Linked DNA regions of Danio rerio. The protein of the gene in region 3 interacts with the protein of the main gene of each other region in a pairwise test. Links are inferred from orthologs where the notes say so. Each region holds a gene or a part of one and is shown on either strand. Other genes may lie near its edges.

Evidence for each region.
Region 1: the proteins of psmc5 (region 3) and vdrb interact in a two-hybrid assay, tested with the Homo sapiens proteins (2 studies listed by BioGRID). The link is inferred for Danio rerio from reciprocal best matches to the Homo sapiens genes PSMC5 and VDR.
Region 2: the proteins of psmc5 (region 3) and tnnt1 interact in a two-hybrid assay, tested with the Homo sapiens proteins (2 studies listed by BioGRID and IntAct). The two-hybrid records come from large-scale screens. The link is inferred for Danio rerio from reciprocal best matches to the Homo sapiens genes PSMC5 and TNNT1.

Annotation. Positions count from the first base shown.
Region 1 is NC_133181.1:41,551,940-41,556,115, forward strand, and holds the start of vdrb (vitamin D3 receptor B), read right to left. Parts: upstream 2,938-4,176; 5' UTR 2,845-2,937; intron 1,369-2,844; exon of another isoform or gene 1,353-1,368; coding exon of another isoform or gene 1,328-1,352; intron 1-1,327.
Region 2 is NC_133178.1:30,978,535-30,982,813, forward strand, and holds the start of tnnt1 (troponin T, slow skeletal muscle), read right to left. Parts: upstream 2,946-4,279; 5' UTR 2,853-2,945; intron 1,569-2,852; 5' UTR 1,562-1,568; coding exon 1,536-1,561; intron 1,402-1,535; coding exon 1,388-1,401; intron 1,000-1,387; coding exon 958-999; intron 1-957. UniProt on the Homo sapiens protein: Troponin T is the tropomyosin-binding subunit of troponin, the thin filament regulatory complex which confers calcium-sensitivity to striated muscle actomyosin ATPase activity.
Region 3 is NC_133187.1:10,713,031-10,717,245, reverse strand, and holds the start of psmc5 (26S proteasome regulatory subunit 8), read right to left. Parts: upstream 2,849-4,215; 5' UTR 2,842-2,848; coding exon 2,818-2,841; intron 2,248-2,817; coding exon 2,176-2,247; intron 1-2,175.

The DNA.
Region 1 (4,176 bases), on a different chromosome or scaffold from region 3:
AGGGCAGTATAGATTGTGCTACTGCGGTACATTCTGGAGCGCAGTAGCAAATGCACACTTTTTTAGTCATTTAAATACAAAAACAAGAGAGAGAATTTCTTTTTCCTTTTTAAATGAGGTGTGTGCTCATAGATTCTGGCAGAATGATAACCTTGGATAAAATCATCAGTTTGACGATATTGTGATTAATGCTTTAAAATTTATTCTTTTTAAATGTCTGGGTAAAAGAAAACAAGAACTTTTTCCCACTTTGAATACAATGGTTGCGCCCAAAATTGCTTACTTTCATACTACATAGTACTCTATATAGTAAAAACAGTATGCAAGCCGAGGCGAGTAGCATGTCCGAATTCATAGAAATCCAAAATCAATATGCGAGAAGTACCCGGATGATCTGCTACTTCCAGCAAGATTCTGAAGTGCACTCCCGATAGACGCTACGCGATCTTATGATGCACCATGAGAAAATTCATGAATGGGAGTGAAGCGGGTGCTTCACGCGATCATGATATATTGGCTTCATTCATACTACTCACATTCCTACTGTATAGAACGCTCTTTTCTTTTGGTCGAGTAGTAAATTCAAATGCAGAACCCACAAGGGTTGTCGCGATACTATTCATTCAGGTTACGATACTATACCAGCTGAAGTATCAAGATGCCAAATAGTACTGCGATATTGTAATTCATAACTCAAATCTATTAAATAAAGGTCAGAAATACACATTTTAAAATGTTATAATAGGCACACTTGATTTTAATGCATAATTCCCTTATTGCTGGAAAAAAGTATTATTTGCAAGTCACTTCACCTGAAATGTGTTAGCTCTTTTTGATTATTTTGTAGATAACTGGCTAACAAAAAATACATTAAAATAAAGATACAAATTATAACAAACGAAATTTGTTACATAAAGAGCATTTTTCCTACAAAATTGGGCTATATGAGGTGGTCAAAAATCGATTCAATGTTTGCTGTTGCTATTTTGGGTTTTTCATTTATTTATTTATTTTTTGTTCAGTCTTATCAGGCAATAAACCAAAATAATTCAAAATTTTAATTTGTGAGTCCCTCTTTTGAAGAGATTGTTGAGCTTGTTCTAGCTACTAAATCATTTCAACAGAAACAGAAATGAACTGATTCAGATTCAAACTGAAGCGTCAGAAAACGTGCAATAGGCTACCATAAAAGGTGTGAATTCTACACATTTATGCAATAGAATTTATTTAGAGAAACATTTATAATATTTTGGAGCAGTAAACATGGCAGGCTTCATAATTCAAATGAATTTTTGTTCATTAGCTTCAAAAACACTGATTTCTTTACCATTTAAATTGGTATCTTTTGACATCTTCTCTGCTGTTGTCCTAAAAAAACAAAACAAAAAACAAAAAAAAAATCTTACACATACCTTATGAACGGTATAACAGAAAACTCTTGACTTTTCCAAACTGAGGAATACATTGATAACGGTTATCGTCCCATGCCTAGTGGATAGTGTGTGGTTTAAAGCAAGCTTTTTAAAATGATTTTATAAAAAGTCTCTCACAATTGACTGTATAAAATAACCGAAACACTGAAATTATGTGAAATTTTATTACAGTTCATTAAAATCACTGTTTTGTATTGTCATTTATTTCTGTACAGTCAAGGCGGAATTTTCTGCAGTCATTACTCAAGTCTTTTCTGTCATATGATCCTTCAGAAATCTTTTTTTTTTTTCCTTATCAATGATCAAAAGTTACACTGTATTTATTTAAGTATTGGAAAGAAGAATCTTTGATGAACTTGAAGAGCAGTATTGATTTTAAATAAATGAATACACAACATCTTACTAGGCATGAAACAATAAACATTTTCAAGGTATACCGCGATTTGGAAAAGTCAAGGTTTTAAAACCGCCAAAATTTTCTGCTATATCGTTCCTACAGTACATGTAAGATTTATTTATTTACGTTTCTTTTTAGCTTTTTTTGGGAAAGCAGTATCTCCAGCAGAAAATAGTTTTTTAAACCAATGAAGACAGCAGAAGTCAATGATTCATTTTAATTATTTAGCACGACATGTTTACTGCTCCAAAATGTTTAAAATGTTTTTAAAATAAAATGTTTTGTGTTCAAAGAGGAAAAAAGTTTTAGTTTTTTATCCAGACATTTAAAAATAATCTGTTTTAGAGCAGTAATCACAAAACAAATCACACCATCACAATCTTATTCAGCCCCATGCCTACATCTTACCATTTAACAGTAATGTAGATATGAAAGACATACAGTAGTGCTGAATAACAGGGAAATAGTATTTTGAAACCCTTCCAAGGTATCACGTCTAATCTTGTTACATGCTTGACTATCTCTTTCCATTTAAACTCAAATTAGACCATTGCAGCCCTGAATCTGCACAATGGAGAATCGTAGGAAAAGAGAAAACAACAACAGCCACTGCGTCACAGCCACACAAACACATTATCTGATACAATGCAGAGCAAATCTATTAGCCAATCCTACATGGGAAAAGGCTAACCATTACATTGATTTTAAAGGTTTACCACTTGACTCCATCCCAAACAAACTTAAGAAATAAGAATAAACATCTGCAGGAGTTTACTTTTGTTCATGCTAGTCGGACATGCCCTAACTAGTTGTCCATTTGGAGTGCTGAAAAGGTCCTAGGCCAGTTCAACAGACATGTTAAACAAACTCTGCACACTACAACAGATTCTCAACATACCAACAGCACAATGTGCTTTCATGTCAGAGTCACACGCTCTCTCTCTTTCTCTCCTATACGATCCATAAGGGCATTTTGTTAAACAACACTGCTGAGGTTAATATGACTGATATTACCTGAATATCGCCAGTGTTTGAATGCTTAAACATTTTTATATCAACATCAGGACTTATGAAACATACAGAGCACTATCAAATTAGTTTCTGCCCATAAAGCATTGTTATGATGACAGAAAAACAACAAGGGCAGATGTTTATATTGAAACAGTAACATTCATTTACAATGAAACATTACAACGATGAAACAGAAATATGCCAAAATATATGAATGAAAAATTAATTACATTGTGATTATTTTAATATATATTAGCAAATTATATATTAAGCTTTATGCAATGCTAAATTGTTTGCTAATATTTTACAAGAAAGTGACACCGCAAACTGCTATATAAAAGGTATCGCATCTGAAGCCGTAATACGTTTCCTTGTTGAGCAATTAATCATTCGTTTAGCAAATCTTTTACTTCACATAAAAGAAAAACAGTTAGCGAAGGAAAACTGATCTCCAAAAAAAGTAACTTTGAAGAGCTGCTAAACGCCACAGACGCGAAATTGTCGCTGTGTCTGGATGATGTCGCAGTTGAAAATTACCGCAACAGATGAGCTGATACGCAGCTTTACTATCACACTCATTAACATTACACGCTTTTATATCGCTTTGAATACAATTGACGCTTCATTAGCGCGGATTTGCTGCTTTAGGTCATTCTTCAGAACTAGCTGCACTCCGAGGCATGTGCAAAGTTTTCCATGTTGTATAACTCGCCAAGGTCGGTGTTTAAATCGCATTCAATCAGTGCACCAAACACACACACAACGAATACATTCTAGTGTTAATTTAGCTCACAAACTACACACATTAACTCTCTCTCTCGCTCCCTCTGGATCTCATGTGCCAGGATGAAAAAAGCAGTCACTTGAGTAGGTTACCTAACATTAGCAGACTAGCAGCTTTTGTTTTGAATTGCATTAGTGAGCGCACAAGGTTCACTTTGATAATAGTGTGTGTTAGAGTAAACTGCTCGCTTCGTACCTGCGTGCAACTTTTCCGATCAAGCGTGATGTGACTTTTGCTGCTTCTCTCCAATCCGTAACTTGTAAATCTTGTTTTTTTCTTTCTTTTTCTTCACGCCGAGAACTTGGCGCCAGCTCACATGCTAGCACGCCGAGAAAACACGCCCACCGCCTCGGCAGCGCAGCCCGCAGAGGGTCGCCTCGCTCCGCGTCCAGCCGCACCGCAGCCCCGTACTCGCGATCGAGCCTCTGGAGGAGCTAGTCGACGAGATGCTAACGAATTATGCTGGCTATCGCAGCTTTGTAATCCATCCCGCGCGGATTTTTTTTTCTCTCGCCGTGGGTTAACTAACGTAACGTACACACAAACAATGC
Region 2 (4,279 bases), on a different chromosome or scaffold from region 3:
AATTGTGCAATCCATCTTGTTTTATCTGTCTCTGTCTTTTGAAGAAATCTGGTCACAGCACCTATCCATTTTGGAAGAGTGTGGTGATTCATATTTGATATACCAAATTTTTAAATGATAAAATTAATGTGACTGCCTGAACATAGAATTCTGTTCGATTAATTGTTTGGATTTTTGCATATTCTCTAAAACATGCATAAATGAGTCCTTAGACACCCAGACAAAGAATATTGAAAGAACCGAGGCTGATGAACCCTATAAGACAATTGAGGACAGCACAAAGTCTTAAGCAGTACACAATATGCAAACTGTTCTTAATCATTTTGTTGATCAGTCCACTTCAAAAAAAAAGAAAGAAAAAAAGAAAAAGTATTATATACACAGATGCCACTTGTATGAAAGCACAATATATAATGTATTACTGCAGGTTAATGATCAATGTATTGTCAACTGTATACTCAACACCTTAACTTGATTTCAATTGTAAAGTAAGGATGTACTTTTGTAAAGCTGCTTTGGAATTATTGTGAAAAGGGCGATATAAATAATACACAACTTCCCTCACAAACGTTAAAAAACAAACTTGATGGGAGAATGTGCACAGCTGCAAGTAAACATATTACTTTTGTATTAAACATTGACTTTTTTTAACCACTTTAAACCATCACATGTGGCATAATAAAAAAATTTTAAAAACTATTTATTCTGGCATAGGTTTCTATGGAAAGTTTTATTTACAAGACCCCTGGTCTGTCATTAAATGTTTGACAAGTACTACAGTATATGCCTGATTCAGATTCCAAACTAAAAAGATGACAGCTCACTCTTGTTTACAATTGGTGATATTTTCACTTAGTATATCTAATTTGCACTATATCTACAAAAAAAAAAAAAAATCCATTACATACTTTTCTTTCTATAACCTTGATCAGTTTTTGCATGTCTGTAATATTTTACCTGTTCCAGCTTCCTCTGTAGTCTCCTCCTCCTCTTCTTCAGCTTACAAATACAGACACAATGACAGGATGATTGATGAAAGGCAAACATAAGCGAATATCAATTATGTGCTGAGAGCACGTGAGGACAATCAGGAAATATAATAAGTGAATAAATATAGACAAGTCTGTGCAAAGGATTATGTAAGTGTAGACCATTTGTTAAGGCTACCAGAAACATGAGATCACTGTGCAGGAATAACCCTTCCAGATAAAGGCAGGCTGACAAGCCTAAGCACCCAATCAGACTCATGATTGTGAAACCAATTGAAGCTCAGCAGGGCCTCTTGAAGTATCTATAACTAGCCTCTGGGTACACATTAGACCAAGGCTTTACAGATAATCACTAAATCTGTAGTTTCAGCTGGGCAAGAAATAAAAACAATACTCACCCTCTGCTTGTTCCCTAAAAGACCAATAAAGGAAATGGAATGAGGAATCAGGTAAGAAGTAGGGAAAAAGGATTTACTTATGATCCTTCAGATAGTCCAATACTTGAATAGTTTCCATAAGTAAACATCAAAAAGAAACGGTACTCACTCATATTCCTCTTCTACATCAGACATGATTAAGCTGAAGGAAAAAAGGAGATACAGAAAGAAGGAATAAGACAAGTTTATTGTAATGGCTTTAAAAACCAATGAGAGAGAAATAGAGAGAGACAAAACCCAACAGCACAAGAACCAAATTGTTCCATTGTTCCAAAGTGCTGACAGCCCATTGGATGCTTCACATGAAGACTGATGGGGTGAGAACAGGTGGGAATGCAGAGACTAAGACAGGGCATATGAGATACATTTCTGACTCTTTCATTCACACTTCTCTACAGTTTCACATTTGGTAGAACAAGATTCATGTAGTAGTGTTTCACATTTCCGTCTTGTAAGTAGACACAGTTACACATACAGTACGTATGTGAGATAACAAGACCTTGCTTGATTTCCCTAATTGGATCTTGAGGGTTTGATAGCAGGAACTGCAGATAACAGCAATTACTGTTTGATTGCAGTCATTAAACGTCCCCAGGCAGACTTCTCAAGTGCCTCATCTTTCACATCAGTACTGTATCATGAGAAACAACTTCATAGCTTCTATGTCATCGCTTGAGAGAATTTATGAGGCATGTAGCCGTCACCGACCCTCTTATACTTTATTGTCTCTGGACAAAGGCTTCTATGAAAGCCTGTCTAAAAGCAGAGTCCTTTCAACAGCTTGCCCGCCTGTTACTTTACTAATGAGGGTTTGAGCATCTACAGAGCATGAGTTTGGTCAAACACTGTATAAAATTATCACATTACAAACTGAAGATATTCTTTGCTCTGGATCGACCCAAGCAGGGATAGACACAATTTGGAGGAAACAAGATAGGGAAAGTGCAAGACAAAAAGGCATTTTGGGGATGCAGCAAGGGTGTGGGAGGTCAGAACAGCATTAACCACAGAATTCTGATGGGATAATTTTAGCAAAGGACACAGAGGAGAATATATGAATCTGTATTGCTTAGAGACCGAGTTAATGATTTCATGCGACTATCTGAACACAATCTTTTTTTTTTTTATTAAATGAATAACTAATTAAATTAGCATAAGCTCATACTGGAAGAGGTCAGGAATGCAGTTCCGACCACTGTTTTGGTTCTGTCTGTAGCTATTTAATTACAGAAAAATAGGAAAAGTCTGGTTGAGGAAATCAAAACACATTGCTGGATAAATAACAGCTAACATTATTAGCAAGAACAAGAACTGGAGATAACAGAAAAATCTAATATACATGCAGAATTATACAGAGAAATAAAAAGTGCTGTTCTCCACATTGAAAAGAATGCAGATATCTGAGAGGCAACAAAATGACTTTTACCTTTCGCTGATGGTAGGATAATTCACTCTGTAAAAAGATGAGACGTGGGCACCCAAAGGATGAGAGGAGAGCCCCTGTGAATTATGGAGAGTTATGTATTGTGGGACAATGGGTTGTTTTTATATGAGGACAGGGACAGATGGAGGGTGTTAGCGGCTACGGCACAGGACCATGGATGGATTAGAAATGAACCCAGGGACAGAAAGATGACCACCACAAAGGATTAGGGAAGACATGGGGAATGACCTCACACAACAAACACAGGGATATAAAAAGAGATAGAAAAAAACAAAGGGACAGTTGGGAACAAAAATAGGGCAGCGGATTTAGATACAATTCTTCCAAGAAGACATATTTTCTATTTGACACAATGTAAAATAAGGTAATGGGTAAGACGTCTTTAGGGTAATCGAATGTGCTCCCCGTCCCATTCTTATGGGTACTAGTCAGGAATAAAACACTAATGTCTGGAAAGGATTGATTTTCTAACTTTCTATATTTTATCAAGACTAGTCCGTGCTGTTGGCTGATCAAGTAGGGAAAATAACAGTTTTAGGTATTGACCTTGTACACTGATGGGCCACTTTATTAGGTACACCTTACTAGCACTGGGTTGGACCCTCTTTTGCTTTCAGAACTGCCTTAATCCTTAGTGGCATAGATTCAACAAGGACTCGAAATATTCCTCAGAGATTTTGTTCTATATTGACATGAATGCATCACATAGTTGTTGCAGATTTGCTGCACATCCATGATGTGAATCTCCCGTTCCACCACATCCCAAAGGTGCTCTATTGGATTGAGATCTGGTAACTGGGGAGGCCATTTGACTTCAGTGAACTCATTATCATGCTTAAGAAACCAGTCTGAGATGATTCACCCAGAACACCGGGGTTACACCCCAACTCTTTACGTGAAGTGCCATGGGATTTTTAATGATCACAGAGAGCCACTTTATTAGGTACACCTGTCCAACTGCTTGTTAACATAAATCTACAATCAGCCAATCACATGGCAAAAATACAATGCATTTAGGCATGTAGACATGGTCAAGATGATCAGCTGCAGTCATGTCATAAAGCATTATGTCATAAAGCGCGAATCATCTCAGACTGGTTTCGTAATCCTACTGGAAGTAGCGATCAGAATATACACTGTGGTCATAAAGGGATGGACATGGCCAGCAACAATACTCAGGTAGGCTGTGACATTGACACAGTTGGTACTAATGGGACCAAAGTGTTCCAAAAAATATTCCTTACACCATTACACCACCACTAGCTGCCTGAGCCGTTGATACAAGGCAGGATTGATCCATGCTTTCATGTTATTGATGCCAAATTCAGACCTGACCATCCGAATGTCACAGCAGAAATCGAGACTCATAAGACAAGACAACGTTTTTCCAATCTTCTAGTGTCCAGTTT
Region 3 (4,215 bases):
GACCAGTGATGCCTTGTCACTAAATTTTAATTTGCCTGCGACTATTTGTCAATTATTATATTGTCTTAGAATCGAGAAGCAAATTTTTAAGTCAGCCACCTTTTGTTTTGCAATAAAAAACCTCCACATTTTCCATATTGCTATATTTTACTGCTAAATATATATTTTTTTAATTTATATTTAAATTTTAGATTCATTCATTCATTTTCTTGTCTGCTTAGTCCCTTTATTAATTCGGGGTCACCACAGCAGAATGAACCGCCAACTTATCCAGCACGTTTTTTTTACGCAGCGGATGCCCTTCCAGCCTTCCATCTCTGGAAAACACACACACACACACACACACTTTAGCCTACCCAATTCACCTGTACCGCATGTCTTTGGACAGTGGGGGAAACTGGAGCACCCGAAGGAAACCCATGCGAATGCAGGGAGAACAAGCAGACTCCACACAGAAATGCCAACTGAGCCGAGGTTCGAACCAGCGACCCAGCGACCTTCTTGCTGTGAGGCGACAGCACTACCTATTGGGCCACTGCGTCGCCAATTCTAGGTTAACAGACATTATTTTTGAAACATTATTTAAAATATGTGGCTAAGAAATAGCTTTTTTTTTTTTTTTTTTGGTACAGGGCCTGTGAAATTTTTGGCAGGGCAAGTAAAAATTTGAACCACTGGTCCAATCGAGCCAATAGAAAATATCTCTAGCGTTGAACCCTGCTTAAGGAAAAAAGTCAACTGCAAATCAATGGTCTGAGGATGAGTAAAATGTTTTTTTGTTTTTTTTGTAAATATTTAACATTTTTACATATTTAAAAATGCAATTTTACTGTCCTTTACATCTTAAAAGTATCATTTAAAAACACTTGCAGATAATATTATTTTAAAGAAATAAACTTTAATAAATAAAATATTAAATGGAATTTTAACATAGTTCTTAACACATTTAAAAACAATAATGATAATTCATAATGTCACAAAAATGTTTTACCTAATAGTACAGTTAAAGTGATTGTTTTAATAATCATTTATTGTGCAAGTACATTTATTTTAAGGTGTTAAGACTATAAAATAGAAAAACGCATAAAGTACTTGGTTTCACTGTTTGTAATGAGTTTATTTTTGGTAATAATCACAAAAAAACTATTCTGTTTACCATAAATGACTGTCAGTATATGGCAGTATACTTTAATTCATCAAATTAACTTGTTACCTGAAGGAATAACTTATTTGGGTAAAAAAAAAACCCTATTAAGTTCAACGTACTGTACATTTTCATTTAACTGTAAGCCAAATAAAATTAAGCGTGCGAGACGCTCTGGGCAGTAGACAGGACCGTTACTGGCCTGATTGGCCCAGTGCTGCCTTGTCACTAAAGTTTAATTTGGCTGCGACTGTCTGTCAATTGTGTGCAAATAGGGTGCTAGACATTTGTTTTGCAACCTGTCTCGTTTAATATATGCGAATCAGCAATCGCACTCAGATCCACCCCAAAACCATCGGTCCGAGATCACCTAAATGAGGTGGTCTCAGTTTGAATAAAAAAAAAATTCTGGAGTTGATCGATTGTAGTGAGAAAGCAAAATGATCCAATGAACTAATTAACCAGGCTACATCACAGTGTATTATGGTTGTGTAATAGCCATATATATGTTTTATGAAGTGTTATGAGTAGGGTGGGATGTCATTCCTACCGGCAAATGAGCATGTCATGTCAAATATGAAAGTGAAAGCATGCTGAAACATTACAGAGTGCTGTTTATCCGTTAGGGAAATTGACAGAAATTACCATCTGATAATTGTTCCATATTTTAATCTTAATCTATTTTGTATCTATTTAATTATTGTCTCTAATATATTAATTTTAATCTATTGTTTTGTTTATTTCTACACTGACACCTCAAAAGAAAAATCAGCATTGATCTGCTTCATAATCTGACTGCAGTTTCGGTTCATGTTAATTCTCTCTATAATTTAAGGCTATAATGCATAAATCTATACCAAACGCTTTAAAAATAAATAAATTGAATAATTGTTTGGCTTTTGACACATTTTTTTAAATTATGTGCCAAGGAAACAGCTACTAGCTTCCAGAAAAACCCTTTTTGAACCCTAAACTTTATCTCAATAGTAAATTGTATCAGCAAAAGTGAAGTGTTTGATTGCTATTCTTACCTGAAGCTCCTCGATTTTGGACAGGTAATACTGTCGGAGACCAGAGCCTCCTTTACTGTCCTCGATATCCATCTGCAAACATAAATATTAACAATAATATTGATATGCAGTCACGATATTGATATACAGTCGGGGGATTAACAGTAAAGTGATTATGCCAGGTAACGTTAAAGAAATCGGTTTATTGCTTTTAAAATGATCTAGTCATCCTGTAGAGATGGGAAATAAGACATTTCTCTGTGTATTGTTCGAGAGTAACTTACAGCTTTATTTTCAACAGCGTTTTTTGATTCCCCACATTAAATTCAGTGACATGACATTCCTGAAGTACTACCAGAGATTCATGACATTATTACACACAAAATATCTCTACAGCCATTATAAACGTTTTTGTATGTAATAATGAAACTTCCTTAGTTGACATGTTATATTTAGTCATGCCATGTTATGATCAATCCCAGTCAGTGACACAATGAGACAGCAAACTCTGCTTCATTCGTCTCTTAAAGTCAGACATTGTATCTTATTTCTAAACGCTACAGTCACCGTACAATATATCTCTGGAATTTGTTGTGCTAAAGAATAAAGTACAGCTAACATCACTGTTTATATTAGAAGATTTAAAACAAAAATATTACTTACTTGCTCGATCCCGTCCAGCGCCATCTTGAAAACACAAACTTCCGCCAGTCAATTGCGCTTTTCCGGTTTGTTTTCTTCAGGGAATGATGAAGACGGAGGATTCAATCTCTAGCGCCGCAGTCACATTGGAGAGATACTACAATCATATTCATCCCCCTGAGACCCACAGAACATTTTTTTCCTTTTTCTGATTTCCAACATCCTTTGGATTAAAAAAAATCTACAATTTAGGGTTTTCACATTTGTTTTTGTTTTTTTTTATTTGTTTTTATTTTTACTGCCTGTCCACTGTAGTGGACCACAGGACCATTTTAGGACCATTCTGCCAAACTCAACAAAACTGTACAGGATATTAATATCTGGATGCAGCCTTTATGATGCAAGCTGAATTTGCATCACTCAGCAATGCAATCTCAGACACAATGCACTCAATGGAGAGAGTGACATCACTGTGATGATGGGTAGAGTTAGGGGTGGGGTTAGGTGAGCCCATTAAAAAGCATTGGATGCAGCTCAGATTGCACTGCACCCGGTCTGCATCCAGACCCCTCTCCAGAAAATGGCTGAAAAGAGATATTAATCCAATATTAATGTAACTCAGACTAAACAAAAGCCATTTTTGTTTTCTTTTGTATTGAAATTCCTGAAACAGTTTAGTCTAAAAGAGAGCCAAACTGAAAAAAAGAAGAAAAAGAAGAGATATTAATCCAAAACAAATTTAACATAAAAGCGATTTAAAACTGATTGTCATTCTCTAATTGTCTCTTATTGTCTGATTGTCAGACTCTAAGTCATAGTCTCCATCAACTATCTTATAAAGAATCCTCTCTGCTTCAGTTCTGCCCCCTACAACATGCAGTCATTTATTAAAATAAGATGGTCCTGGTGTCCACTACAGTGGACATCAAAAAAGGATGATATTTTGAAACACAAACAAGTTAACAACTTTGAAAGCTAAATGTATTGTTCCTGACATTCTAATTAACAAATATATACGTAATAATAATAGTAAAAAAAAAAAAAAACATTTAAAAGGCTAAATTTTACATACCTCTCTCTTTCCCATAAATGAGCTTGTTTGTATGCCGGCCAGTGTAAGTAATGGTTCCTACAATGCCAGCCAATCAAATGACATATCACTAGAAAGTCCAGGACTAGTTAATCCACACATAAATCTGTTTTATACGCACGTCTGTTTTGCAGGTGTCATGGAGGGTCAATTCAGTTCACCTAATCTGCATATCTTTTAGGTGTGAGTGGATTTTTTTAGCAGTGCAGAGATTACAAACTTCAGTTTTGTCATTGTCACCCAATTGACTAATTCCACACAAAAGACATTTATTCAGACAACAATAGCTTCACCTTTGTTTAGATTGGCAGGATAAAATTAAACGTAAA